Notamacropus eugenii: one gene and its partners. The protein of the gene in region 2 purifies or fractionates together with the protein of the main gene of each other region. This does not show direct contact. Links are inferred from orthologs where the notes say so. Each region holds a gene or a part of one and is shown on either strand. Other genes may lie near its edges.

Region 1 (7,320 bases), on a different chromosome or scaffold from region 2:
TCAACAGGGCAACCCTGGAGAGTTCTTCCATTAGTTTCCACCCCCCTCATCTGCTTACGATAATGGTATCAGACGTCTTCATCCCATGGAGAAGAATGGCAACCAGGGTGAACACCAGCATGAGAGGCCCATAGAGTTCGCCAGCAATTTTCTGTGGAGACACTAGGTCAGCTTGGGAAGTTCAAATGACTGCTTCCCTTCTACTTCTGCCCTCACAGGCCCCTAACTGTTCTCTGGGAGCTCTTTCCCGAGTCCTGGGCCAGGTTTCCCACCCTTCCTCTCAGTGGTTTTGCCCAGGCCTTCCAAGCTCCAGCACATTCTAACCACTGCTCCTTCCTGGGCTATCATTTTCTACTTGGGAACGGTGCTGGGGACATCAAGTGACAAAAGGGATCATTAGCACATACCTGGGGAAAATTGACCATCTTGACAGGGATCATGGACTCCAGGAGCCTATAAGATAGGAGGTTTGAGAGTAGGGCAGGGTTGCGGGTAACTTTTTCTAGGAGGGATCTCTTTCTTCCACTATTCACTGTCACCAGGAGGGGAAAGTATTTGAGGATGATTGGGTCCACGGGAAATAAGGAGATCTTGGAGAGGTCTAGCAGGGGGACTGCGAAATTGTGGACTGCATTAAAAGTGTGTTTATGTTATTGGGGGTAGGAGGTGTCTAATGTTACTGAAAAATGATTCTCCTGTTTTCCCTAGACCAGGGATGGGGAACCTGTGGCCTTGAGGACATATGTGGCCCACTTAGTCCTCAAGTACAGCTCTTTGACCGTTCAGAAAAATTTTTTCTGTGATGTTTGGATTCTGTCAAAGATGTGTAAAGGCCATATATGACCTCAAGGCCACAGGTTCCCCATCACTGTTAGGATTACTGTATTTAGAGTTGAAATGTACAATGCAGCTTAACACTTTCATTTTATGGATGAATAAAAAGGCTTGAGAGTCTAAAGGCCTTGTTCAAGTTTACAGTCCTACCTTTATGTCTTGATTAAAGTTTATGAAACACAACACACAGTCCTATAAGTAGGCAGGGCAAGAACTTTCCCTATTTTGCCAATTAGGAAACTGAGGCTCAAAGAAGTAAACTGACTTCCCCCAAATCTCAGAGCTACTTGGTATAAAAACCTAGATTTGAACCCAGATGCTCTTTCCACTACTAGTCTCTTAACATTCTACGTTGTACTCATCTTAGGGGGTTGGGAGAAAGGCTGAGCACAGTAATGACTGTGATAGAAAGTGAAGAAAAATGAGGAGATGCAGGTAAACACCTTACCTCTCTCCTTTTAGAACCTGTGTGCTCTTGTGAAGAACCAGGTGGAGTGTGACCTTCACAGGCGCCCAGTTGGCCCTAAGATCAGGATTCTACTCATGACCCCCCCAAGACCTGGCCAAAGGGAGTTCATATGGGAATTAGGGAAGCAGAGACAGCACAGCTGCTGTTGTGGGCCTGGCCCGGGCCAGGGAGAGCAGCTAGGAGAAAGAAAACTCTTACCGGCTTCGAACTTGGGCAGGTTCCACATCAAAGTAAGGCCTGAGGATGTCGATATTAGCATAGAGGCTGAAGGCCTTGGAGGCCTGTCTCTTCCCTGCCTGCCACATCTGAGAGAAAGAGATAAAGCTGATCCACTGAGATTCTACTTTGGTTTCTAGAAACTAGCTTTAGGCTCTGTTGCTTTTTTCTCCATGGAAAAAATTGCAGATATCTTTCAGAAGAGGAGATTCTGATCTGACTGGCATGATACATCCTGCTTGAAGAAGGGGACACAAATAGAATAGCTGGGACAGAACCTTGCTTCTCCTTAGCCTGCTAGAAGCTCAGTATTACTTACTTGATCAGCCACTTGTCGACTCAGCTGTCCTTTGAAGCCCTTCATTCCCAGGAATTCTCCATCTTCCTCCTCAGCAGCAGCTGCATCAGCATCTACCTCTTCTTCACGGAGCCGCTGGTGAAGCTCCCCCATATCTTCAAAGCTAGATCCTGATGTGTCGTCCATGTTCTCCATGTCAATCACTGCTGAGCCTCCACCCTGCTGGTCAAAGGAATGGTTTGTATCTGAACCAGACTGACTCTGCCTGGTACTCACATCTCATCAGTACTCTCCATCCCATGATGGGACCCTGATGTCTGGAAGGCAGGGCCATGGGCTTCTGTTTAAAGGAGAGAAAGGTGTGTGTGCTCGTGAGGCACAGCAGTTTTTCTCTCTTTTTCCTACTTTGGGACTTCACCTCAGGTACCTCTCCCTGCTGTCAGCTTCCTTTTGTGTGTTGTCTTTCTGTATTAGATCACAAGCTCCTTGAGGACAGGAGCTGTCTTCCCCAGTGCTGTGCTAAGCATTTAATAAATATCTAATAGCAGACTGATCTTTCTGATCCATCCATTCAGCTAAATAACACTGTTCCTCTTTTCCTCATCTGAAGATTGGGGTTGTGGGTGGAATGAGGAAGGGGCTTTGTCCCGCAGTTGTTAAGACTTAGTGGTTTTCCTAAAACGTAGATCTAGTTATGATTCTGAGTACACACACGTGCATATGCATGCACACACACACACAGACACAAAGAGCTCCAAAACTCTCCTACTGCTCTTAAAAACAGTACAAAAAATCCAGCTGGCATTTCAAGTCCTCCACAATCTGGTTCCACCTTCCTTTCCAGGCTTATTTCATATTATTCCCATTCATATACTCCTTTTAACAACAAACTGGACTGCTATTTCCATAGCATTGCACTTCTTGCCTTTGTAACTTTTGCACAATTGCACCTCATGTTTGGTAGCCCTCTTTCTTTGCCTCCAGCTTGCTATACCTCCAGTTTCCTTCAAAGCTCAAGTGAGCTGTCACTTCCTTGATTCTTTTTCTGTTCCCTTTAATTATTAGCCCTCTTCCTCTTAGAATTACTTTTTATTTACAAAAACTAAAAATCTATTCTTAACCACATCCCCCCCTCCATCCAATAAGAATGAAATTTTTGTGAGGATGAGGACGGTATCATTTCTCTCTTTGTGTCCCTAATGCCAAGGGCAGTGCCTTGCATTTTGCATAGTGCATAGTGAGCATTCTGTCTGAAATGAACCTTTCTGTCTCTCCCAACTCTAGCAGTTTGCTGTAAAATTTTGAGACTTCTCAGGCTCAAGTTCTACTTTCCAGCCAGACAAACTCGCTTCTTGTCCTCTACCCATCTCTTTCTCTCCATTGAGGACAGAGAATGAGTTCCCCAAGAACATTTTCTCCCCCAACCTTTCCCCCTCAACAAACAGAGGCAAAAGAGGCTCCCTTATCAGATCCCATGCTCTGCTGTTGCTCCCTAGGACCTAAGTTCCAGAATACATTCTTGGTATGTTTCCACCCATGTCGAAGCACTCTCTACACCCGGAATGCCGTCCCTTCCTGGGTTGCTATCCTTCGAGGTCCAGTTTAAATGCTGTCTGATCTCCGCAACGACTTTCCATCTGCTTAATCTGTACACGTATCATACACTTCCTTGTCCTTCATCCCGAGGAAAGTTTTTTCTCTATTTGGCCGGCATCTTTCATGGAATTGCCTGGAATCTACTCTGAAATTGACACGGTTCCTTAGGTGCAAGTACTTAATTTCGAACTTCTCTGAATCTCCCTGAGTATATATGTATACTAAAGGCTCCGAACAAACGTGCTGAAGGAGCGAGTTCATCCTCCCCCCTGGGTGGCCAGGGCGAGGCCAGCCCACTGCTCGCCCGAGCGCTCGGGCCACGCTGCGGCCTGGCCACCGACTTCCCGGCTGGGGGGTCTCCAGCTCCAAGCTCCACAAGGGCCCGAGAAGGAGAAACAGGGGCCGCCCAAGGGGCAGGTTCAGGCTGGAAGTGCAGATGAATCCCTCGGCTCTGCCTGCCTCAGTGGCCTCCCTTTCTGGCTCTGTTTCCTCCTCTGTAAAACGAGGGCACTGAACTGCATGGTTTCCAAGGTGCGCCTCCAATTCTAAACCCCAGCACCCGGCAAGGGACTGGAAGGGGGAGATCGCAAACGCGGAGAGAGAACCTGCGTCCTCGGAGGCGGGGGGCAGCCACGAGGACCCCGCGAGGGATCTGTCGGCCTTCAGGCCGCCCAGTCCGGGGAGGCGTCTAGGGCCATTACCTGGATATTCTCCTCGAAGCCCCCCCACTCTGGGGAGGCCCCGTTCCGGGTACCTCCTGCCGGGGCCACCGGGCTTGCCATGTCCCTCGAAGGATCCCGTCACTCGGACTCGCGCAACTACTGCGCGAAGGGGGGAGGGCCCGGCCCCCGGGAGTGAAGGTGGAGTCGGGGAGACGGGCGTCCCCCCACCGTGGGATGCTCCAAAAGGAAGACGACCGGATGTTTAGGCGACTCCACCCGGAAGCTGTAGACGTGGAAACAAGCAGGTCCACTCTGTCTCGCGAGACGTAGGGGCCGCTTGTCGCCACGGCGACGACGCGAGAAGGCTTGTACGCGTGCGCGGTGGGCGCCCGGTTGTCACGTGGAGCTAGGATGGCGGCCTCCGGAGCGGTGGAGGAGATGCGGAGCCGCGTGGTGCTCGGGGAATTCGGGGTCCGAAACGTAAGGCTCGAGTGACGAACTGGGCCGGGATCCGTACGGAGGAAAGGGTCCCGGCCTCCAGCCTCACGTGCACCTCTGCTTTAGGTTCATACCACGGACTTCCCGGGAAATTACTGCGGCTACGATGATGCGTGGGACCAGAGCCGCTTCGAGAAGGTGAGGGAGGCCCGGTGCGGGGGGGAGCTGGTGAGGGGAGGCCCGGTGCGGGGGGAGCTGGTGAGGGAGGCCCGGTGCGGGGGGAGCTGGTGAGGGAGGCCCGGTGGGGGGGGGAGCTGGTGAGGGAGGCCCGGTGGGGGGGGAGCTGGTGAGGGAGGCCCGGTGGGGGGGGGAGCTGGTGAGGGGAGGCCCGGTGGGGGGGGGAGCTGGTGAGGGGAGGCCCGGTGCGGGGGGAGCTGGTGAGGGGAGGCCCGGTGGTGGTGGGGAGCTGGTGAGGGGAGGCCCGGTGGGGGGGGGAGCTGGTGAGGGGAGGCCCGGTGGGGGGGGGAGCTGGTGAGGGGAGGCCCGGTGGGGGGGGGAGCTGGTGAGGGGAGGCCCGGTGCGGGGGGAGCTGGTGAGGGGAGGCCCGGTGCGGGGGGAGCTGGTGAGGGGAGGCCCGGTGCGGGGGGAGCTGGTGAGGGAGGCCCGGTGGGGGGGGAGCTGGTGAGGGGAGGCCCGGTGGGGGGGAGCTGGTGAGGGAGGCCCGGTGGGGGGGGAGCTGGTGAGGGGAGGCCCGGTGGGGGGGGAGCTGGTGAGGGAGGCCCGGTGCGGGGGGGGGGGGGGGAGCTGGTGAGGGGAGGCCCGGTGGAGGGGGAGCTGGTGAGAGGAGGCCCGGTGGGGGGGGGAGAGCTGGTGAGGGGAGGCCCGGTGGGGGGGGGAGAGCTGGTGAGGGGAGGCCCGGTGGAGGGGGAGCTGGTGAGGGAGGCCCGGTGGGGGGGGAGCTGGTGAGGGGAGGCCCGGTGGGGGGGGGAGCTGGTGAGGGGAGGCCCGGTGGGGGGGGAGCTGGTGAGGGAGGCCCGGTGCGGGGGGAGCTGGTGAGGGGAGGCCCGGTGGGGGGGGGAGCTGGTGAGGGGAGGCCCGGTGGGGGGGGGAGCTGGTGAGGGGAGGCCCGGTGCGGGGGGAGCTGGTGAGGGAGGCCCGGTGGGGGGGGAGCTGGTGAGGGAGGCCCGGTGGGGGGGGGAGCTGGTGACGGGAGGCCCTGGGAGGGCAGGGGCCCCAAACACCCAGCCTGCGCCGGGAAGGGAATGTGGGAATCTTAGGGCCCTTTTCCTCACAGACCCTTTGCTCCCCCATCCTTTCAGGAGTTCCGCGTGGATGTGGTGCACATGGATGAAAGCTCGCTGGAATTTGATATGGTTGGGATTGATGCTGCCATTGCCAACGCTTTTCGGAGGATCTTATTAGCTGAGGTGGTGACGGCGATAGTGACGGTGTTGTGGGCAGGAGGGCAGAGAAGCTGACAGGAGGGAACCACCCTGTCCTAGCCACATTGAACTACTTGGGCTCATTTTTTTGCAGCTCTGTATATTTATTTCCTTGTGGTTGCTTATGCTTGTTCCCTCCCAGGTTCTTTTTTGGAAAGTAGTCAGTCCTTAGAAACATAGGTGGAGGAGAAGATCTGTTGTGTTATATATATATATATCTTTCTAAGGATCAGTATCATTTCTGTATCTAGGTTCCAACCATGGCTGTGGAAAAAGTCTTTGTGTACAACAACACATCCATCGTTCAGGATGAGATACTGGCCCATCGTTTGGGACTCATTCCCATTCATGCAGACCCCCGGCTTTTTGAGTACCGGAACCAAGGTAGGAGAGTGGAGGCTTGTAGAGGGGAGAGGTTGTGACTTGGTGTGATGGCGCTCTTGCTCTGTCATGTGCAGGTGATGAAGATGGCACTGAGATAGATACGTTGCAGTTTCAGCTGAAGGTCAAATGTACCCGTAATCCTCAAGCTGCCAAAGATTCCTCTGATCCCAATGAACTTTATCTCAATCACAAAGGTGAGTAATGACAGGGTCAGGGAAACAAAGGTGCAAATCCAGCTCCTTTACTTATATGATCTTAGGTAAATTAGCTTTTAAGCCCCAGTCTACTCATCTGTAATTTAAATGGTTTGAACTATATGGTCTTTTATAGCTGTAAATCCAGTGATGCTTGAGGAAGTGGGAGGAGTATCTGCCACTATTATTAGACCATAAATTTAAGAGCTTAGAACTAACCACAGAGGCCATCTAGGCCCTCAGTAACACTTCCCTCCTAAATTTTAACTGACATTCTTCGTCTCATCCTGTAGTGTACACAAAACACATGACGTGGATACCCCTGGGAAACCAAGCGGATGTTTTCCCAGAAGGCACTATTCGTCCTGTGCATGATGACATTCTCATTGCTCAGCTACGTCCTGGCCAAGAGCTTGACCTCCTCATGCACTGCGTTAAAGGCATAGGTAAGGATTGTTGGGTGCTAGTCCAACTATGTTGGGGGTGGGGGGAAAGGGCCCTGAAATTTTTGGATTGGAAATGTTAATGGTAGTGCAGTGTAAAGCATGGAAGATGAGGGGGTTGATAAGGGGTATCTCTGCTTTTCCTCTCCAGGCAAAGACCATGCAAAATTTTCTCCTGTAGCCACTGCCAGTTACAGATTATTGCCAGATATCACTCTCCTCCAGCCAGTAGAGGGGGAAGCAGCTGAGGAGCTGAGTCGATGCTTTTCACCTGGTGTTATTCAGGTGCAAGATGTCAAAGGTATCTGTAGAAAGGGATGCTCACATCCCCATGTCTTAAAAAC
Region 2 (7,302 bases):
TATCCAAAGAGGTAAAAACCAATTTCATTGTATTCCTGAAAAAAGCCAGGACTGCTATATCACATTCACCTTACATCTGCATTATCCAAGGAAGTCACAAGGTTCAGATTCTCTGGTCAGTCAGGCAAGGTTCTTGAATCTCACGTGTTTTAGGGTGATCCCCTCTATGGTCATTTCTTTCTTTGAGAAGAATGCCGTGACAGGAATCATCAGCTACTAGGCAGATGGCATCCAATTCCAGTTGCCAAGGTTGGAAATCTTCATTTCTCAGAATTGTTGTTCATTGACCTGGGGTCAAGGAGGGAAACAAATGCAGAAGAAGCAAATGGCCTAGGACTCAGTTTTATCTGGGCAAGCATGTGCTCTCACGCTTTCTGTTTGGGGTCACTGCTGCGCCTGGGGAAGACAGAGAAAGAGAAATCTCCTCCCTCCCTCTTCCCTTTGCTGTAATTCCAACAGAGAGAAAACACCCGGTGCATCCCAAATGCGGATATTTTTCTCCCAAGTTTTTTTATAGTCCATGGAAGGGACAGCTCCTTTTAACACATTTTCAACACAACCCACCAGTTACAGGGAACAATAAGGTGTTACTACATCATTTTAACATGGCCCATGTACTTCAGCAAGGGAACAGAGAACATATCCATCTTCTAGGCCCCAGGCCAGGAAGTCAGAAGTTCCCTTGACCTCTTCCTGCTATAAGCTAATGATCCTAAGTTTTTTACCAAAATAAAGATTCATCTTTTTATCACCAATATCCTTCCAGTGATGCCATATGGCTATGAGTCATGGAAAACTACAATCCTTTACAGAATTGAAGTCGGGGATCACTCAAAGGGCAATGGAAAAGCATATGGTGGATGTGAGTAAACTGTAACATGGCAAATAAGGAGTTGTGCAGAAATGGTGGCAAAAGAAATATCAGAGAAAGATATGACCACAAAAAAAAAATTGACTAATCATATAGGAAGCTAGGGGGAACAGTTTAGCAAGACTGCTAAACTTGGAGTCAGGAAGATCTGAGTTCAGATCCAGCTTCAGACACCTTTTTAGTGTGATCTTGAGCAAGTGACATAACCGCTGTGTGCCTCAGTTTCCTCATCTGTACAACAGGGATAATAATAGACCTTTCTTCTAAAAGCTGTCACAAGAACCAAATGAGATGATATTTTCAAAGTGCTTTTGCAAATCTGAAAGTTCTATTTAGCTGCTAGTTATTATTATTATGTAGCAAAGTAGAGGGATAACTGATGGTCACATACATCACTTGATCCAGAACATATCAAAAGAGTTAGAAAAAGGCCCTCAGCACATTGTGGATTTAGGAGAGGGTATGGACAAGAGTGTCACAGAACAATCAGGCACAGATGCTTTATAATCAAACTACCAAAGTAACAGTCCTTATTATACTGTGGTTTTGATCAAACTCTCAAAGTTCCTTATTATACTTGGGTTTCATCTATGTGGCCCTGCCCTCCAATCTCACAGACTGTAATTTTTTCCTACTTTAACAGATGCTCTTCAGGTGGTAAGAAACATTATTATAATGCAAAGAAAATAAATAACCTTAAAAATGTTAATGGAAGAAAAAAATTCTTACATTTATAAAGCACTTTAAGATTCACAAAGCACTAGAATACGCAGAGACACAGACACATATTTATATATATATATGCATCTTCAATGTATATTGAATCAAATATATATATTTGATTCAATCAAAAAGCATTTCTTAAGAGCTTAAAGAGGCCTATTCACTGAATGGGCATTACCTCACTCTAAGTGAGTAACTCAATAGGCCTTAGCCTAAAGAGGTCAAGGTCTCCCAGTGCATCCTGGGCTGTCTCCAGTCATCCTGATGATAGCTCTAGAGGAGAAGTGAGGCTGCCGACCTTGCACAGCCCTCCCTCACACAAAACAAAGTCAAGTGCAAGTCATGTCATTATTTCTCTGATATCATGGTCTTCTTCAAAAATGAAGGATAAACACAATTATATTATATGCTAGGCACTATGCAAGGCACTGGGGATTCAAATATAGAATACAAAGAATGAAACAATCTCTATTCATGAGGGGCAAATTCATGGGACAAACAAATCATCAAAGTGTAAGCTAGGAGGGCTCCCCTCCATTGATGAGGCTCATTCAGGGCATGGAGAGAAATCATCTGAAGTCTAGCTTACCTCTAAGGAGAGGTGAGTGGATATACCATTGTCAGCACACCAGTTGGGAGACAGAAGCAGGAAGATCCCAGGAGCACTACCAAGCAGACTGTTCTTTTCTCCAGTCTCCAAGAGGAATACAAGATTAGAATTATATCTTTCTGCCTCCATAAATATTGCTCTGATTTGTAAGGATCCAGAAAGAAAGACACCTCCCTAGGTACTCTAAAGGAGGAGGGTAGCTCCAAACCCACTTTGACACCTGCTGGCTTGATTCCTTCCCACCACATGGTAGTGACACACACAAAAAAACCCATCATAAATAGTGAATAGCTAGTAAATCCATTAATCCAGCAAACGAACAAACAAAAATCAGAGGAAACTATATATATATATGTATATATATGTATATATGCATACATATATATAATATAATTTACCAGAACATACCCAAGAATCAACAAACTCTTTAGATGGGTACGTGATAAGATCTAAGCTCAACCCAACTTACTCAAGACAGTGGGCTTGGTCTCACCCAAGGAGAAGTTCCCTTTCCAAAATCTCTGTGGAAGAAAACAGGAAATCTTGTTCCCAGGGACCAGACACCCCACTGCTGGCTGCAGACATGGTCTCTGGCTGGCTCCCGTGTCTGAGTCTTCTCCCTCCTCATCTCCACTACTGGCTTCCCTGGCTTCTAGGAAGCCCACCTTCTCCAGGATGCCACTGTGTCTTCCTTCTCTTAACTGCTTCCTATCCCTCCTGAGCACAGCTTGGGCTGTTTTCCAGATACCTGTTCCTCGTCTTCCCCAGGAGCCTGGGAGGGCGGTGGCCGGAGCTCGCCGGACACACGTCCACTGCCTGACCCAGAGGAATGGACAGCAACCTCAGAAGAAGAAGCGCCGGCGGGAGGGGGAGGGGGAGGGGGAGGGGAGGGGACAGGCAGAACCAGGACAGGCCTTGTGGAGGAGAGGCCTTGAAGAGGCCGGCCTCCTCCCATCCAGGGGTTTCTTTCTCTGATTTAAAAAGTGCTCATTCTTTAAAAACCCATCCCTGGATTCTACTGACCCCTCGAGCCCTCATCCCATGCCCTTTTGCCCATTCAGCAAACACCAAGGGATCGGACACAGGCCCCCTGTGGTCCTGAAAGCTCTTTGCAGCCTGGCCTTTGCTGCTTCTCACTTCCGGTCTCTTGTGACCCCAGTCGGGGTTTTCTTGGCAAAGGTGCTGGAGGGGTTTGCCATTTCCTTCTCCAGCCTATTTTACAGATGGGGAAACTGAAGCAGACAGGGTAAAGTGACTTGCCCAGGGTCACCCAGCCGAGGCCACTTTGGAACTCGTGTGGATGGAGCCCTCCTGAGGCCAGGTGCAGCCTCCAGGTGCACTATGGCGCCACCTAGCGGAGGCCGGACGTCAGCGCCAGCGCTACCTCCTGCTTTAAACCGTTTTAGGCCAGGGCTACTGGGCTAGCACAAGTGCGCTGATTGCACTTTGCATATGTTTTGCATATGCTTATAACCCTCGAGCATGCCTTCTGTTGCTTATCGTACATAGCCGTTCACACATTGCTCCCCACGCTAGCCCCTCAGCTCCTGGAGAGCAGGGACGGTCTTTTTTGCCTCTGTCTCCCCAGCATTTAGGGGATGCAGAGCCTGGCACACGGCAGGTGCTTAATGGATAGGGTAGGGTCTTTGGGGTCTGGAGTTGTCTCGTCGCGTTCTTCTCGTCCTCACTTACTGACTGAAGGCGAAAAGAGCACCCAGACTCCACGTGTGAGGCCCTCAGCGCTAGCAAACGTTCCAGCGCATGCGCGTGCAAAGCGCAGCCCTTCTATCGTAGCGCCCCTCCCCCTGCACGGCCGCACTTCCGCCCTTTTGCCCTTTCAGAAGACGGCTACACCCAAACTGCGTACTGAGGCGAGCTACGGCGGCCGTAGAAAGAAGCAAAGGATACCGGCATTTTTCGCTTCTGCCCTTTACTAAAATGGCGACGCCCATCCTAGTCTATCAACTTCCGCCTCTCGTCTCAGAGTCTCCTAGACCTGCAAGGAAACGAGACGGAAGCGGTGGGCCAGACTGGTTTCCGCCCTTCCTCAAGGTGGTGGCCCTCAGCAGCTACACGCCAAGTTCCGCCCGGTTCTCAGGCGCAGCCGCAGTCGCAGCCATGGCGGCGGGGGCGAGGCTGGCGTGAGCGGCTCGAGGTGGGCGCTGCGCCTTCCTGGCCGAGGTTTCTCAGCCACGTGGCTGTAGGTTGTGGGCCCTCTCAGGATGTCTGAGGGCAACTCGGCCGGGGAGCCGGGCCCCGCCGGGGGGAGTCGTCCCTCGCTGCCAGGGGCCCGGGGGCTGATCGGGCGGCGGCCCGCGGCCCCCTTAACCCCGGGCCGCCTCCCTTCCATCCGTTCCAGAGACCTCACTCTAGGGGGCGTCAAGAAGGTAAGAAAGGGTAGTTCCAGAAGGCCGCCCGCCCAGGCTCGCTCCAGCCCTCCTTTCCTGGCCTCCTGCACGCTCTTCCATCCTCCTCTCTCTGCAGTCCATTTCCTCTGGCCGGTTTCCGTAGACTTCATCTCCTGCCTCCAAGCCTTTGTACGGTCGGTTTGCTCTCTGTACTTTTCATGCCTGTGGCGCCCTTCCAGGCTCAACCCCGAGGTTTGGTGCTGATGGAAGCCCCCTCCTGCCAAAGTCTTTAGTGTTCTTTCCCAACCCAAATCATATTTATCTGCTTACATAGTTTATCACAGCTCATTCCCCTCTGAAATTGTAAGGGCTTTGGTTGGCTTGTGCCCTCGTTATGGCCTTAGGACTGCCCAGTGCACGTAGGGAAAGCTTGTCCAGTTAGGTGGATCCCTCGCTGCCGGGACCCCTGATGTCTCCAGTGTGGGTGTCCCCGCCCTTAAACCTTATAGTGCTTCATTAAAAAGAAAACCTTTAAATGAGACAAAATAAAATTACCACGTGTCAGGCTCTGTGCTGAACAAATAAATACCTTAACCCTTACAAATAGTTTATTCGATTGATCCACACAACTATACTGGGAGGCCGGTGCTGTTATGATGCCCATTTTACAGATGAAGAAACTGAGGCAGATAGAGGTGAAGTGACTCTCCCGTTGTCACACAACCAGTAAGCATCCTCAGAGGTCACATTTGATCTTGGGCTGCCTAGTAGAAAGCACATGGAGTTGGTATGGTTGAAAAATTCCATCCCTTTACTGCCAGACTGGTGATGAAGCTGTCTGCCCATAGCCAGTAGTGCCCTGTCCTTGGACAGCAGTGGTCTGTACTGGATGCTTTGTGTTCCTCTGGCATCCCAGTTGCTTCCTTCCCAAGATAAAGCATCAGAAAAGACTTGAAGAGGAAATTCATTTCACAGACATTTATTAAGTTATATGCCACCTAATGAAAATGAGTGTAGTCTTTTCCTTTGGTGCTTATGTTGTGTTGGAAGACATCACATATCCACAGACAAGTCAATACCAAACAGAGTGGAGTCAGACTCTTCTTCCTGGATTCAAATCCAGTCCCAGACACTGTGACCTTGGACAAATCACTTAACCTTGTTTGCCTCAGTTTCCTCATTTGTAAAATGAGTTAAAGAAGGAAATGGCAAACCTGTATCTGCCAAGAAAACCTCAGATGGGTTCAGAATTAGAAATGAGGACTGAACAACACAAATAAGGAGTTAGAGGAGAGAAGAGCCCAAGGGGAGTACTTTGTGGCGGTGGTAAATCCAGAAAGGTTAGCCCTTGAACTTAGTCTTAGGGTGCTAGGGATTCCAAGAGGTGGAGGTGAGGAAGGAGAGCTTTCCAGGCACTTCGTGCAAGCCTATACAAAGGCATGGGGGTAGAGTAAGTAATCTAGGTTGGAACTGAAAGTGTGTGAGATGAAGTAATATGGGATAAGTCTGAAAAGATAAGGTGGAGTCAGACTGTGAAGGGCTTTAAATGCCAAACAGGAGTTTGCTGCTGACATTTTTTTTTTTTTTGTGGAGGCAACTAGGGTTGTTACTTGCCGAGGTCACAAACTAGTAAATGTCTGAAGCTGGATTTAAACCCAACACCTCCTGATTGCAAGTCTGGTGCTGTATTCACTGAGCCACTGAGCCACCCAGCCACCCCCAGCAACTTATTTTTGAGTGGGAGAAGTGATATCATCAGACCTTAGGAAAACTGATTTGGCAGCTGTGTGGCTGTCAGGTGGGAGAAGGAAGAAACTCAGTAGAAGGCTGTTGAGGTAGCCTAGGAAGTTATGAAGGCCTGTACTAGGCTGGTGGTTCTCTGACTGAAGGGGATATATACAAGAGATGTTTAGTGGTAGAATTACAAAGACTCAGCAACTGATGGGCTGTGAAGGAGAAGGAATAGTCAAGGATACATAATAAGCCGTAATGATAATAGCAGTTCTTTTATCCTTAAAGGACCTGAGATTTCACTGACTCAGATCAAAGCTCTTTCTCTACCCAGCAGGCAGGCCACCTTCATGTGTTGCTGTGGCTTTTAAAAAAAAAAAAAAAGACCACCTTTTGTGACAACAACCGGTTGTCAACCTTGTGGTGATGAAAGTGATGACGGTGGCCCACGGGCGTGCACTGTGTGATTTACAAAATGCTGTCCTCAGCACTGTCTGTGAGGTGGATAATGCAGGTGTTATGCTCTCCATTTTTGCAGCGAGTAGGCCACATTTTACCAGACAAGATAGCAGTCTAAGTCTTCTAACTCCTAGAGGTCACTTCAGCACTGCCCCCCAACCCCGGCTTCTTTGCTTTAGAAACTCAGTACCATGGTTCTTGGGTTGTTTTCCATTTCCACAGGGATTACACGAGGGGAAAACAAGCCAGGGAAGGTTCTGCCAGGCTGGAAGAACTTCTAGTACAGACCTGTGAAAGGCAGTCTCTTTTGTCCAAGGACAAGCCTAAGTGTCACCACAGGAGAAAGCAACTCACGTTTCTATAGCATTGTAAGGTTTACAAAAAAACACTTTCTTACCAACAGTATTTTCTCCATTTTATAGTGACTCGCTGGGGTCACAATTGCGGGGCTCACAGGGCTACTAAATGTTGGAACTGGGGCCTTTCTCCAAGTGCAGTGTCTTTGCCATGATGCCACCCCAGCCTTGCTGAAAATTCAGTTCAACAAGCATTAAGTGCTT
Region 3 (7,626 bases), on a different chromosome or scaffold from region 2:
CTTAGAAGATACAGCTCCAGTAAATCACATTTCATCTCTTCCAGTAAGTGACCATCCTGTTTAAAACAGGGAGATAAAAGAAAAACATGTTTTTACCATAAAGTTTGAATCCAGTTGTGATTCTTTTATGCACTTAATTTATATCACAAGAAAAAATAACAATGTACACTTTTAAAAAAAATTACATTTTTAAATAAGGGCATTTTATTTTTTAAAAGTGACAAAATGAATTTATTTCTGGATTTAGGCAACTTGCATTGACGAAGGTGTCTCAGTCCCCGTCTTCCTGGATGTAGTTCATCCCAAGATTGCTTAAACATTGGCTTCCATTTTAAAGTTTCTTAACATGGTCAAGTTTTGCTATATAAGGTTTATTAAATGTAAAACTAATATTTTCATGTATTGCATAAATTCTGTTTTTGAAAATTTTGGCAAGAACCTGTTCCATGCAAGCTGGCAATGTTCTTTTTTTTTTTCAGTTAAATATTAAAGCATTGACTTAAAAAATGATTGGTATGTCTGTTTCATGGGGGGAGGGCTTTTCAGGGACTCATCCAATACTGCTGACCCTGAGGGACTTTAAGCCTCGGTTAATCAGGTAATCATCATCTTCCTGTTACGTAGACCACCAGGTTCTTCTCTGTTCTTTAAAATTTTATTTTTTTGTTATTTTATTTTTTTGTTTTAGTCATTTTTGGTTTTTTTGTTATTCTTTATTTGACAGATGCCAACAGTTGTGGATATTTCCATATACAGAAGAGAACAGAAAAAGGAGGATTGTATATGAAACTCTAAATCTCTTATATACAACTTGGTTTTTTAGAAAGTATGTCCTCAATCAGTCGTTTGTTAAGCACCAACTATTCTAGTTAAAAATACAGGTACAAAGACTGAAAAGATCCCTACTTGGAATGAGCTCACATTTTAAAATAATAAATTCCTTATGTAGTTTCAAAGCTGTCCTGCTCTCTGTGTCTTCCTCTGAATTTCCCTTGGTTCTCTTTTGTCTATTAAAAAAAATACTTCAATGGCCCTTTGTTTCTTTTTTCTTTTGGCCATAACACTTAGGAGCCCATTTCCTTGCTCTCCCCTTCCAGTTTAAAAAAATAAAATCAAAAACTTGTAATGAATAAGTATGATCAAACAAAATAAAAAATCTATGCCGTGGCAACGTCTGCAAATGTATGTCTCCTTCTGCATGCCCTTTTTGTCGAGAGGTGAGGAATCTGGTTCATCAGGAGTCTCATCTGCTGTTTTCCAAGTGACTCTCATCACGTGTCTCTGCTTTGGGGCTTGGGGTGGTGGGGACAGGGCTGGACTTAGGTCAGACCTAGGGTGCAATGGCATCTGTGCTGAGCACCTGCCTGGGTGCCTATGGTTGGGGTGGTTCGGGTGGTTCGGGGCGGGGGCGGGCACTCACCAACCAGGGAGAAATCAGTGAAGACTGTGGTAGTGGGTGAAACTTGAAGTGAATCATGCCAGGCCTCAGGGGTTCCAAGAAACCAAGGTGAGGAGGAACATTCCAGGTATGGACCCATGGGGGAGGAATAGGGGCTGAGCCTTATTGGACTTGGCCGAATTTTGTCCTTTGTTCAGTGCTATCTGACTTTCAGTGACTCCACTTAGGGTTTTCTCAGCAGAGATACTGGAATGATTGGCCATTTCCTTCTCCATCTCATTTTACAGATGAGGAAAGGGAGGCAAACGGTGAAATGACTTGCTCAGGGTCACCCAGCTAGCAAGTGTCTGAGGTTGGATTTGAACCCCAAATCCAGGGATCTGTGCACTGTGACATTAACTGCCTCAGTGTCATTAATTAGTAGGGGAGCATAAGCCACAAGTATGCAAGATTATGCAACAGCCTTGGAATAGATGAGAATGTAATGTAAGTATATGACTGCGTTGAAATGGCAAGGAGTATGGAAAAATCAAAGGAAGGATGAGCATTTTTCTAGTCATTTAAGATTTCCATAGCACTTTATATCTATTATCTCAATTCATTCCACATTGACCCTGGAAGGTAGGTGCCATTACGATTACCATTTTACAGTTGGGGAAATTGAGGTTAAGAGAGGTTAAATAACTTGTCTAAGGTCATGTAGCTAATAAGTGTCTGGGGCAGGATTGAAACTCCTCTTCTACCTGACTCCAAATCTAGCACATTGGTTTGTAATCAGAGGACCTGGGTTCGAATGCTGCCTCTTTCTACTGGTGTGACTTTGGGCAAGTCACTTAAATTTTTTTGGGCTCAGTTTACACATCTGTAGAATGAAGGAGCTGGACCAGATGACCTCCGCAGTCCTCTCTACCTTTGTGTCCATGATCTTATGCTTTGGAAGGGAGGAGGATGGAAATACTTTCTGATGGGGAGGGGGAAGAGAAATCAGGGAAGGCTTCTTGGAGGAGCTGGCATTTGAGTTGCAGCTTTACAGTTAGATGAGATTTCCAAAAGTCAAGACAGGATGGAGTTGGCAGCCTGTCATCTTTTCTGCTTTCTTTTCTTTATCCATAACATTCTAGATTCTATGGGAAAAGAGAACATCTGCAGATGTCTTGGGAATTTCTATAGTAAATGGATATCTTATTGATATTCGAAGACTTCCAGCCTCATCACCTTAAACCAAGATTTCCGTTTGACGGGAAACTCGTCAGGATGTTGGAGTGGGCCCCATGGAAAGAAGCCAATGATCATGGAGAGCTCCAGGAAATTCTTGAGTCACCCAAGGTCCTTTTAAACAAAAGCCTTTTTCAAAATCAGCCATGCAAGGAGAGGGAAATGAACTCATAGTTTTTCCTACCCAGACCCACAGATTCAATGGTTGGTACTTGGAGTTCTCCTTGGTAGGATTTCAAGAGTTTAAGTATACCTAGGAAAAAAAAGTCTCCCCAAGTGCTCACTGATACTTGAAATTCCATATTCAAGGTTGTTTACCCAACTCTATATTCTGTCTGGATTCAGCTACCCTAGACAGTAATCGTTACTGGAAGCGACCTGATTAAAGGAACCACATCTTTCTGTAGGCTCCAGTGAGGAACTGATGAGCCTTCAATAAATATTGGTTGGATCTAACCATCTAACCCATTGCTGTGACTGAATTGATCAGATATTTTTGGGAAGGCAGATTGTGGCAGAGAAGGCACGAGGCAAACCTTGATGATGTTGGGGGTGATGAAAGAGGCCAAGGCGCCCCCCTTTCCCCCAAAGGGAGGCTGTAGATTGAAAGACATCTTCCTTCATCATTTTACTCTAGGTCCATGCTGGAGAAGACATTCTGATGTGGTTTTCCATCTGTACCTCACGACAACATTGTTTTTCTAAACATTTTCAGAATGATGCTTAAAGAGCATGGCACAGCAAATTTCCATGGTCCTCAAATAATCAACAAACCTGTATTAAGTGTATGTCAGGCTTGAGGTGGGTGGGTGCTATTATTACCCCCATTTTACAGATGGAGAAACACAGTTATGTGTGTGAGGCTAGATTCGAACACAAGTTTGCCTTGGTATCTACTATGCACTTTGCCTTCAAGGAAGCCTAGCTGAAAGGCAGCTTAGAGGTGACTGAGAATAATGATTTCATTTACAGATGGGGAAACTGAAGCCCAGATAGATATTACATGTGAACATATATGTGTATATACACACAGCAGTAGAATATATGTAATATACATATATGTATAAGACACACATATACATACATTATACATGTATATATACACACATATCACCTGTCATACATATAACACAGACATATCTTACATATACTACACCATATTATTGTTATATATATTGTCATATAGTATAGCGTATATTATATGTATATATGCTCTATACACATACTATATATTAAACATAACATATATCTTACATTACACATTACATATATACATAATCTGACAATATATAATGTATATATGTACATACACAAATGTTCATAAACAGATCTATATTACATATATACATAGAGCTTGCACACATATTACACACCCCCTATATTATATTTATACATTTCACACGCACATTAGAGCAAACACATTACACACATCTTACATGTACTATAACTTTATTACAAAGTGCACATACGTGTCATTATTACACACACCTAGATCATATAGATTTCTCCCATGTCTTAGACATATATACACATACATATGTGAGGCATTATATTATATTACACACGGGCATACATTACACACATGTACATATTTTTATAAGTGACTTGTCCAGGGTCACCTTGGGGGGCACCTGGAGGTAGGGTTTGAACTCAGAACTTAGGGCTATTCATGATATATATTTATATTATAATCATCCACTACGTTCAGCTGGGAGAATGATGGGAAGGATGGGCCTCCTGGAGGCGCTGGCGTCTGGGCAGGACGAAAGGACGAAGTCTCCCTTTGCCGAAGTTTTTCTGGGAAAGGAGACGTAGCACTTAAGCCCAGACTGGGGACGCCACGTGGAAGGCTCCTCGCCCCTCCCCCTCCCCCTCCGCGCGTGCTCCCTGGAATGGGCGGGGCTTGTGACTTCATCAGGGGGCGGAGCTCCGCCGAAGACACATCCGGGTCCTGCCGATGACGCCATAGGGTCCCTAAAAGCAGGCGGAACCTTTTCGCCGTCAGGCGTGGTGCACTGGCCGAGGGGGAAAGGTTTGGGTGCTGCACTGCCGGGTGTTCACGCTCGTAGCGGTCCGCCCGCCGCCGTTAGGGTCGCAGAGGTGGGTGTAGCAGTGGCGACTGGAAGCCATGGACGTGCTAGCCGAGGAGTTCGGGAACTTGACTCCGGAGCAGGTGGCCGCTCCCATTCCTACAGTGGAGGTGAGTGAAGCGAAGGAGCCGGACGTGAGTGTTGCTTGGGGGCGTTCCCTCCTCGGGCGCCCGGGCTAGTCAGGGAATGTAGCTGGGGCTGTGCTCCAGGGCCTAGGGCGCATGCTCGGAGCACTCCGCCCCGCCCTCTACGGGCGTTGGGGCTCTGAGTGCGCCTGCGCCCACGCCCACACCTTTGCGCACGAGGTTTCTTCCCGGGCTGTCAGGCCCTAGTCAGTTGCTCGGGAGGCGGTGGAGACCTCGGACGCGTCCTGGTCCTGCCCCGTGGGGTGGAGCTGCACCTCCCGCAGGGTCGTCCTCCTGGACTTCCCAGCTTGAGGGGCATTTTCCTGGGTAGAAAAAGTGGAAGAAAAAATAACATGATCAGCTCAGCTTTCTCCTACTTCATTATCAGTTTTGTCTGAACCAAATCATTGATCTCTCTTTACCTTCAACGGAAAACTCGTTTTATCGACTTTGGGGCTCTCAATAAGTCTGTCAGGTCGAGGGACAAAGACAAAGTTTAGTCAAGGTTTCCTGCCCTTAAGACCTGAACTTAGATTTCCCTGATGTAGGAAACTACTGGATGAGACAGCTCCCACTACCACTGCAGGTTGGCTTCTTCCCTGCAGCTTGTAGTGTTTGAGAATTGAGTTTAAGTGATTTTAAGGCCACAACACTCAGGGTCAGAGGCAAGATGTTTTTGAATCCGGCCTCCTTTTTCAGGTTCCTAGGCTGTCTCTCTCCATCCTTCTTCTCAGTAGGGAGATGTGATACATAAATAACCTACACATAATGTGCTTAAGAGAAGAAAATAATGTTTGAAGTGGTTGGTGGGCAATTGTTTACCTACTTAGCTTCCCCAGGTTTGGAGAGTTCTCATTTAGAGAATTAAATTTAAAGTATGACTAAGAAGGCCTTAACTCCTTTGCATTTTTTACAGTCTCCTAGACTCTTTCTTCACCCCTTTCAGCTAATAAGCCCTTGCTGATCGCGTCATATTGGACGCATGTGTCACCAGGAGACCCGATCCATTTAGTTACAGCCTTAGTTGGTGTGTATGTTGACTTTAATAGAGTTGGTTGTTGTCCTTCGTTCTTGAAGAGGACCAAAATGACATCACCATGATAAAGTTCAATGTTGACTTCAATAGAGTACTATGAGGATGAATGAATAAAAAGACATTTTTTAAACACTTATAAAGTGCCAAGCACTATGCTAAGCCCTGAGGAGTCAAATACCATAATAATAGCTAGCAGTTACTATGTTCCAGGCACTGTGGTAAGCACTTTACAGATACCTCCTTTGATTCCCAAAACAGTGCTGGGGGGTAGGTGCTATTATTATCCCCATTTTACAGAGGAAGAAGGTTAACTACTGGCTAGCCCACTAGTTAAGTGTCTGAAACCAGATTAGAACTCAAATCTTCTGACCTCAGACCTAGCTTTATCCATTGAGCCACCTAGCTGCTTCCAAATACAAAAGCAAGGATGTGTTCACAGAGTTGCTTTACAAAAGATGAGTGGAAGTAGGGAATTAAGTAAGGCATTGCTGGGATTTGCTTGTCTACAATAGTTGGTCAGATGAGACAATCAGTGGAGACAGGGCAGTGTAATGTTTCTGCCTTAGAGGGCCAGGCTGCTGGGTAGGCTCTTGATAAGATAACTGGGTTGAGGGTTTTAGATCTGCTTTGTAAATCACTTGTTGGAACACCTGTTGAACTCTCAGTACACTGAGCTCCAAGGTGTTTTCAATAAGCTGTCTAGTGCCTCTCTCAGCCTGTACTTGTAGTGTCTCACGTTAGTCAGTCGACAGCCTGGTAAAAGGGATACAAAGGAATGAACTGGGTCTTGTTCTTAAGATATTACATTTTACAGGGGAGGAGGATGTGTACCCATTACCATGGTACTGATGTTAATTAAATAGACCATGGCCAAGGTTGGTGGTGGTTGTTGACCGTCATCTTTGAAGAGGACCAAAATGACATCACCATAGTAAAGTGAAATTTCAGTGTGTCCGACTGTGACTGATCAGACCAATATGAGCTCAGAATGCTCATCTGCAGGTTGGGCACAGATAGTCTGTGTGAATATTTGGGGTGGATATCCCAAATTTTTGCATCTTACATTTACTTTGTGCTGTCTCAGTTCTGCTTTGCTCAAAGAGCACAGCACCCTTTCTGATGTGGGCATGCCATGCTGAACAATCCTGTGCCAGTGTCTCCCATGTTGCATAATCAAATTCAAAGTTCTTGCGAGAGACCTTGAGAGTGTCCTGTGTTGCTTCTTCTGACCACCAGATGATCGTCTGCCCCATGCAAGTTCTTCATAAAATAGTCTTTTTGGCAAGCGTATTTTGCATTCGAACAGTGTGGCCAGCCCATTGGAGTTGTGCTCTTTGAAGCATAGTTTGAATATTTGACAGTTCATCTCGAGCAAGGAGTTAAGTGTCTGGTACCTTATCCTGCAGGTGATCCTCAGAATCTTCCTAAAACAGTTCAAATGGAAGAGATTCAGTTTCCTGGCATGACGCTGAGAGACTGTCCATGTTTCACAGGCATACAACAGTGAGGTCAGCACAGTGGCTCTGTAGACCTTCAGTTTGGTAGTCAGTCTAATACCTCTTCCCTCCCAAACTTTTCTTTGGAGCCTCCCAAACACTGAGCTAGCTCTGGCAATGTGTGCATCAACCTCATTGTCAATGTGTACATCCCTGGAAAGTACACTACCAAGGTAAGTGAACTTATCCACAGCATTCAAAACTTCTCCATTTGTTATAATCGATGGTTCCACATATGGATAGTGTGGTGGTGACTGATGGAGCT
Region 4 (7,534 bases), on a different chromosome or scaffold from region 2:
GGCACCTTCTCTGAAACTGCTCGTGCCCACCCTGGGCCCAGGGGCCTGGCATGTCACAAATACATCATACACGTTGACTGGACTGATCTGAATTAGGAGGAAGGCCAGGCCTGGAGCCTACATCCACACACTCCTAGACCAGGTCTCTTTATCCACGTGTCCCAACAGAGGCGTCAGGCAGTGTTCTGAGGCTGGCTCCCCTCAGTGGGTCTATTTGGGGGGAAGTTACCAAGCAAACACCTCAGTCCCTGTTCTCTACATGTGGTCTGGGCCAGCCCAAGCCTGGCTGTTCCTTGTGGTCTCCTTCTACGGCCTCTCAAGCACAGCAGTTTCTAGAGAAACAGTGGACACACCCATAAGATTACTCCAGGGAGGAAAACAAACCCAAATCTCAAAAATATTTACAAGCTGGAGGCTGGAGTGTGAGAGGCCAGGACACAGCAGAGGTGGTGAAAGCAGCTAGTCCAAGCCTAAAGTGGGCAGGGCAGGGAACAGAGGACTCCAGTCCCACACATAGCCCAACAGTCCAGAACAGACATCTTGTGATCCAAATGATTCAGCAGCCTCCCCTCCTACCTCTTACCTTAGAGCTTTCAACACTGTCCCCTAAGTCAGGTTATCTACCCACACAATGGGAAATAAGAACAACAATCCTAGCTGTCTATTTCTAGGCAGTTACTCAGTTCAGTTTAGTCAAGTCAATGTTATCAAGGCTAAGGGTGTAGAGATGAAAGGGTAGCCAACTTCTGGCCTCAAAGGGTGGTTGATCTAGCGGGTAGAGAGAAGGAAGAGGTATGTACACAGAAGTACCCAAATTGGAATACGATTAGTTAGGTGCACAGGAGGGATCAAGAGAGATTCTAAACAGCAGGGTTCAGTTCCAGTTGGGATCCATCAGGAAAGGGTCCCTGAGGTGGGCCCTGAAGGGACAGTAGGATGTCAGGAGGCAGAGGCCCTCTGGACAGTGAAGAAAGATGGGTTGGACTGGGGGGAAGGGGGAAAAAGAGAGAGAAGATCCCTGGTAGTAAGACCATTAGAAGCCTAATTACAACAATCCAGGTGATGAGGGCTAGGGGGTAGTGGTAGAAAGGAAGAAAGATGAGCGATATGGTGGGGCCAGAACGAATAGGGTTTGGTGACTGGACATGGGAACTAGGAGGGAGATGGAAGAAGCACCATAAACAGAGAGAAAAGGAGACACAGTATAGGGTGTTTTGTGCTTCAGGAGAAAGGAGTTCAATTTGATGCGCTCAGTCCAATAACAGTGCTAATATCCACTTTTTGGGCCCATAAACACACAATTAATGCCAGTGGCCCTGCCTCATAACCCAGAGGACAGACAGACTCAGCTCTCCTGACAAAATCCTTGGCTTTGCAGACTTCAGAAAAACTGCTACATTGTATTAATGTGCCTGTCCCCACCACCCTCCCTCCCATTCCCCCAATCCCATTTCCTCCTCTCTTCTTAGCTTTCCCAGCCCAAGGCCAACAGGAGTAGAGGAACAGTTGTTGACTTGTAGGTTAGGAGGGCAAGAGTTGCTATCCTGCTTTTCCAGATGGGGAAACTGAGCCTCAGGGAGGAAAAGTACATTCCCAAGGTCACAATTAAGACAAATGCAGATCAAGAACTCATAAGATTGGTAAATTTTAGAGCTGAAAACTCCCCCTCCCCCTCATTCTACAGCTAGGGAATTTCAGGCCCCAAAAGGTGAGTTTACAATAGGGGGAAGGGGTCTGTGAACTTGGATGGAAAAAATACATCTTTATTTCAATAAGCTTTAACTGAAATTTGGCATTTCCTGCAATTACTTAAAAACATTCTTCTCAGTAGGGGACCTATCCAGGCTGACAGAGGGATCCAGGAAGAGGCGAAAGATGGAGAATTCTGCTATAAATAGAGTTAGAAGTGACCTCGGAGGCCAACGCCCTTGTGTTACAGAGAGGGTCATGGGGAAACAGGAGGGTCTTCACGGGTCATGGAACTGGCCCTCTCATCTCAGGGAATGGAGAAAGAGATGACCCAGGGAGGTTAAGAGACTAGTCCTCGATCGCACCCCAAGAAAGCATCAGACGCAGGACTAGAACCCAGGGCCCTCCCTTCCCAGCTTGGGATCGAGGGGACTCAGAGGCCGCCTGGCCCGGCTTCCCCACCATTAACAGATAAGGAAACTGAGGCCCAATAAGTGAACCGGTGCCAGGGTCACCCCGCTGTCGAAAGGGCCTGCGGACCCCCGGTGCGGCTACTTCAGGGCACCCGCGGAAGAAACAAGCAGCAGGGTCGGGGATCTGCCCCCTCCGCCCCCTCCTCCTTCCCCTGCGCGTTCTGGAGGCCAGTGGGGGGGGGGGGGGGGTGGCCTTCGCCCCTGCCCCTCCCCCTCCCGGCTCCGGCTTCGGAGAACAATCGCCCGCTGACGTCTGGTCCGCAGCCCGGTCCCCTATGGCAACCTCCCCCACCGCGTCTCTTCCTCCCTCCCGCCACCCCCGCCTCGGCCCCGTCCCGGGATTTGGGAAGGGGTCTGGGCCCGACCCGGGACAGAGCGAGGCTGGCTAGGGGCGGCTCGCGTCCGAGGGCTGGGGGGTCGGAGGGAGGGCGGCTCGCGCGCCCGCCCCTAACGGCCCTGCGGAGGGGAGGTTGGGGCGCAATGGCCCCCTCTCGGCCGGGCCCCCCGCCTCGGCCGGGTCCCCCCTCTTCGCCTCTCCCGCGGCCGCGCAGGCCGCTCAGGCTCACCATACTGCTGGAAAGGCCGGGGGCCGCCAGGGCTGCGCACAGCAGAGCTGGCTTCACCAGACGGTAGAGGCGGCTGAAACTCATTTCGGCGGCGGCGGGGGAGCCTCCTTCCCAGAGGCGGTGCCCTCCCGAGCGCCCCAATCAACGCGCGCCCGGGGGGCAGGCCGTGCCGAATCGCCCCGCCCTCAGGCCTTCAATCACTGGTCCGAATTGTGGCGGGGCTGGATAGGCGGCTCAGTCAGCCAATCAACAGGCCGGAACTGTGGCCTCGGGGGGCGGGGTTTGGGGGTGTGGCCAGGACTGGGGCGAGGCATTGTGGAGACTAGCTACGTCCGCAGAGCACCTGACGCCCAGATTTCTCGTGGCCTCAGGGGATTGATGCTGGGGTCAAGTCGGTCCAGGGACTGCGGCTTTCCCTGTGTGGCTTATTTACCTGGACAGTGTTCCCCAAACAACCTGGCACTCAACTCTCTGTCTCCTAGACTGTGTAACCATAGCCTATAGGGTCCAGTTTCAGCCTGCTTAATCTGCCTAATGATGATGTAGAAGGGTAATTCGGTTATCAACTAAGCCAGAAAGTCCAAGTGAGTTATCTGCACATCTTTCCCAGCAAGTCACGAGGCTGACTCACAGGCATTCAGGGCTACTAATTCCAGGCCCCCAAGCGTAAATCCTCAGACTTGCAGGATTTAGAACCGGAGGGACCTTGAAGATTATCTAGTAAAATCCAAGAAGCTTCATTCCTTGCCAAGCCTGCATGGAAGCCTAAGGAAGAAATCCTCATACTTAGTATGTTTGGCGAGTTTTGGAAAGGGAAATTCCTTGGGACCAGCAGAGACAAAGAGAAGGGCTTTGTTGAGGGGTTCCCAGTCTTGATGGGATCAGGATCTGGGGAGAACTGTTAAAAATTAGGTTACAGAGGCTCTGCAACTGGGGAGTTTCCTGTTAATTTGATTTTCTAACTACCTTTCTCTGTTAAATCTTCTTAATCTCTGTGTTTTCTGGTCCTTTACAAATAAATCTTGGAAAACATACTCTTTTGGTCTGGAGTGTGTCGTTTACCTAGGATTCATTAAATCTTAAATTAAAATCCTACTTCCAACATTCCACCTTTGTGACCTTGAAAAACTCACTTGTTCTTAATTCACTTAACAACTAATTTGTCTTGTGCCTTCTATGGACTGGATGATCTATAAGATCTCTTCTAGATCTGAATCGATAACTTATGAAACTGGGGGTTCCCAAATGGTCCCTCTCTTTTGTTAGGTGGAGATTTAAAGAGATGACCCTAGTTATTGTAAATGAGATTCCTGTTCTGATATAAGTTGGACTAGATAACTTTTGAAGGTCCTTCCAAATCTAAGATTCTATGATTCCCTGGACACCAAGATCAGTGGGAGAAATTGACTACCTGGAAATAAACTGCCTTGACACTATTCCTCAGTATCGGAAAAAATGCTGAATGTGGAATCAAGACTGATTATCACTAAATTGCTATGTAACTTCTCTTTCCTCTTCTATGGACCTCAGTTTCCTTCTCAATAAAATGAGGTAAATGACATGGATTTTCATGAGAGCTGCATGACAAGGGCAATGACTTGTCTAAATTTTGTGTCTCTCCTGGCACTGAGCACAGAGAAGAAGCCTAATATTTGGTGATGTACCTCCCTCCCAGTTCTGACCTTCCAGGATCTCAGAGCTTGAGGAACGACAATTTGGAAAACTACGACTCCCAGGCAGCCTTGCTCCTAAAGACACGCGAGAATTTCTCAGGGGGTGGGGCTTTGCCTGGAGCCTCTAACAAAACAACTAACAGCCGACCTCCGAACGCTCAGTGGTCGGCTTGTCTGTCACACTGCCTGCTCCCTTACTCTCAGGCATTTCCTAAGACACCTCAGCCCAGACACGAAGGGGGCCTGCTGTTGGGCCTCACGCAGACGCACTCGTATCCATGTTCGGCCTCGCGCAGACGCACTTAGTTCCTTCAGGGTCCTAGTTGAGGGGCGTGCGGTACTGGAGAACTAGAGAGGTTTTAGTCCCTTATTCGGCCTGACGCGACGAGGACATGGATGACGAAGAGGAGACCTATCGACTATGGAAGATCCGCAAGACCATCATGCAGGTAAGACAGTAGTCTCCCTTGATCTCGAGAGAGGTAGAGGAAGGAAGTGAGCGCGTTAGGGTAGAGGGCGGGTAAGGCAGAAGGCTAGCGCGTGGGGGGTTATGAGAGGGGAGGAGGGAGAGAGAGAGGCGCGTGGGGGGTTATGAGAGGGGAAGGCTTGAGAAGCGGCGCGTGGGGGGTTCTGGGAAGGGGGAGCGGAAGCTGGAGAAATGCAGGGGCGGGGGGAGGCGGGGGTGGGTGTTGAGAAGGGGCGGGCCAAGAGCAGTTTGGTGAGGGAGAGACTTGAGAATGGGAGGGGGTCAGGCCCGCGTGGATCTTTTTGGAGGAAGGTCTGCGTGCTTTTACTTTACCATGTACTGTCATTTCATCAATCAGGAATATTTCTATGCTTTCTCTGAATCCTTGGGGTATATTTGTCATTTCTTATAGCACAGTGATATTCCGTTACATTCATGTACCGCAGTTTGTTTAGCAATTCCCCAATCAACGGGTATCTGCTCGGTGTCAGTCCTTTGCTGCTACAATGTTTTGATGTACGTGATACTTTTTATCCTTCTCCCTTGATGTGATACTTTTTGTCCTTCTCCCCTGGGCTAGCAGGGGAGTCTCTGAATGAGTGAATTTTAAAAGCGCTTATTACTCAGCGCTCTGCCTGAGGCTGGGGATGCAGATGGAGAAAGACACTCCCTGCTTTCTAGGAACTCACCTGGAGAAGGTGTCAGCTGCGAGTCAGATGGAAAGGTCCCATGGTCCTCAGAGTGCAGTAGCAAAGCAGATAGTAGGGTATCATTTTTAATGTTTCCACTGCTAAAGTCATTTCCATTGCTGATACCGAGTCATTTGATAGCTCCAAGGACAAAGGAAATTCTTTTCTGGGTCTTCAGTAACTTGTGACTGTAACACCTGCAGAAGCAATTGGTAGACCACATCTTCCATAGGACTTGTTTCCTAGGGTGGTGGCTGGGCTAAAAGTAGCAGGACCCGTGATCTAGAGGAGGACTGCCACTCCCAGGACTCTTGGGCTTGCCTCCTAGTTGGTGGCAGTTGGTATTGATAGTGGCAAGGAAGGTGAGCCCCTTCTCCAGAGTGATTTCTCCTGGAAGCAGGATCCCTAGCTAGAAATAGGGCTGGTGGGCTTGGGGATATTTAAAAAGTTTTTGGAGGTGGTAGTGGTTGATCTTGGCTGGAACGTGATGCCTTTTGTTTTTCTCTTATGATGAGGGCCTTGCTTCTTAAGCTGTGCTGATTTGCCTACTATGTATACAGTAGTTGGTGATTTGGTTTCCTTAAGGCATTACAATCTTCTACAGGAAACCTTTCCCAACCCTTCTTAATTCTAATATCTTCTTTATCAATTATTTTCTGTTCCTTCTACATATAGCTTGTTTGTACGTATTTGCTCATTGTCTCTCCCATTAGATTCTGTTGGGATCCCCCAAGATTCTGGGCTGTGTCCTTTGAGGTTTGAAGGGAGGTGGTGGTAGAGGTTTGACTCACCTTGAATGAGCTACCTCTTGTTACCCTTAGGGTGCTTTGCTGCATCAGCTAGCTTGTTTGCCTGTTTCATAGGCAGAGGCTATGGAGAGGTTAGTCACTTTTTGGGGGTATAATTCCAAATTGCTTTCACCAACAGTAAATTAAGTGTACCTGCCTTTTTGCACTCCCTCTCCAACATTGATTATTCCTATCTATTGTGGGTTTGAAGGGTACAAGGTGAAATGTCATAATTTTTTTTGGATTTCCATTTTTTTTAGAACATTCTTTCAAATGGTTAACAATTTGCCATTTTTCTTTTGAAAACTTTGTACATGTGTTTCGATCATTTATACGCTGGAGGTTGGTTCTTGGTCTTATACGTGTTAGTTCCTTTATTGTCTTGACCATCAGGCACCACAGACAGAAAGGCCCCCATAAGCACCAATATAGAAGCTTTTTTCATAGCAAAGAACTAAAGCAGATTCCCACAAGTGGGCATGACTTAAAATTGTGTGTGGTACATGAGTGTCAAGAATATTACTGTGCTGTGAAAAAAACAACAAATGTGAAGAATTCAGAAAGCATGGAAACATTTATGAAGTGAGGCAGAGTGAAGTAAGCAGAACTGGAGTGGCGACAACAATGCAAGTGGAATGGAGCAAGGCCGAACTGAATGCTGAGCAATTATATTGATCAGACTTAACCTGGAAGAAGAAGTGTGAAAATGCTGCAGAGGTGAAGACTGTGGATCCAGAACGTTATCTGTGGATCCAGAACATTATCTATGCTATTTAAAAAAAAAAATCCTACTTTATTTTCAGTTCCCAATTCTCCCTTCCCACAGCCATTGAGAAGACAAGAAAAACAGAGCTCATTACAGACATGTGTAGTCACGCACAGCTAGCTCCTCTTAGCCATATATCAGAAGGACTTTGCCCTGGGCCTGCACCTAGAGTCCCTTGGAGTTGTGATCAGAGTTCCCGAGTCTTTGCAGTGTTGTTGTTAGCTTATAAATTGTTTTGCTCACTTCACTTCCAGTCAGTTAATGTCTTCCCAGTTTCTTTCTGAAACCATCCCCTTCATCATTTCTGCTCTAACTTGTTCAGCCAGTTCCCTCGGGGATGGGCATCTGCCAAGTTTCCAATTCTTTGCTGTCACGAAGAGAACTGCTATAAATGTTTTTGCATGTCTCTCATTTTCCTTTTTCT

The links.
Region 1: the proteins of POLR3D (region 2) and POLR1C purify together in Homo sapiens (affinity purification with mass spectrometry; 6 studies listed by BioGRID and IntAct, counting the BioPlex papers as one, with this or other methods). This does not show direct contact. The link is inferred for Notamacropus eugenii from reciprocal best matches to the Homo sapiens genes POLR3D and POLR1C.
Region 3: the proteins of POLR3D (region 2) and POLR3B purify together in Homo sapiens (affinity purification with mass spectrometry; 8 studies listed by BioGRID and IntAct, counting the BioPlex papers as one, with this or other methods). This does not show direct contact. The link is inferred for Notamacropus eugenii from reciprocal best matches to the Homo sapiens genes POLR3D and POLR3B.
Region 4: the proteins of POLR3D (region 2) and POLR2E purify together in Homo sapiens (affinity purification with mass spectrometry; 6 studies listed by BioGRID and IntAct, counting the BioPlex papers as one, with this or other methods). This does not show direct contact. The link is inferred for Notamacropus eugenii from reciprocal best matches to the Homo sapiens genes POLR3D and POLR2E.

The regions. Positions count from the first base shown.
Region 1 is NC_092873.1:106,460,683-106,468,002, forward strand, and holds the start of POLR1C (DNA-directed RNA polymerases I and III subunit RPAC1), read left to right. Parts: upstream 1-4,306; 5' UTR 4,307-4,486; coding exon 4,487-4,555; intron 4,556-4,639; coding exon 4,640-4,711; intron 4,712-5,832; coding exon 5,833-5,940; intron 5,941-6,206; coding exon 6,207-6,339; intron 6,340-6,413; coding exon 6,414-6,533; intron 6,534-6,826; coding exon 6,827-6,979; intron 6,980-7,127; coding exon 7,128-7,277; intron 7,278-7,320. Other genes in the region: protein YIPF3, read right to left, coding at 59-151, 408-453, 1,502-1,608, 1,839-2,039, 4,115-4,195. UniProt on the Homo sapiens protein: DNA-dependent RNA polymerase catalyzes the transcription of DNA into RNA using the four ribonucleoside triphosphates as substrates.
Region 2 is NC_092872.1:612,384,967-612,392,268, reverse strand, and holds the start of POLR3D (DNA-directed RNA polymerase III subunit RPC4), read left to right. Parts: upstream 1-4,293; 5' UTR 4,294-4,426; coding exon 4,427-4,591; intron 4,592-7,302. UniProt on the Homo sapiens protein: DNA-dependent RNA polymerase catalyzes the transcription of DNA into RNA using the four ribonucleoside triphosphates as substrates.
Region 3 is NC_092874.1:288,740,549-288,748,174, forward strand, and holds the start of POLR3B (DNA-directed RNA polymerase III subunit RPC2), read left to right. Parts: upstream 1-4,617; 5' UTR 4,618-4,742; coding exon 4,743-4,814; intron 4,815-7,626. UniProt on the Homo sapiens protein: Catalytic core component of RNA polymerase III (Pol III), a DNA-dependent RNA polymerase which synthesizes small non-coding RNAs using the four ribonucleoside triphosphates as substrates.
Region 4 is NC_092875.1:61,561,714-61,569,247, reverse strand, and holds the start of POLR2E (DNA-directed RNA polymerases I, II, and III subunit RPABC1), read left to right. Parts: upstream 1-4,519; 5' UTR 4,520-4,793; coding exon 4,794-4,850; intron 4,851-7,534. UniProt on the Homo sapiens protein: DNA-dependent RNA polymerase catalyzes the transcription of DNA into RNA using the four ribonucleoside triphosphates as substrates.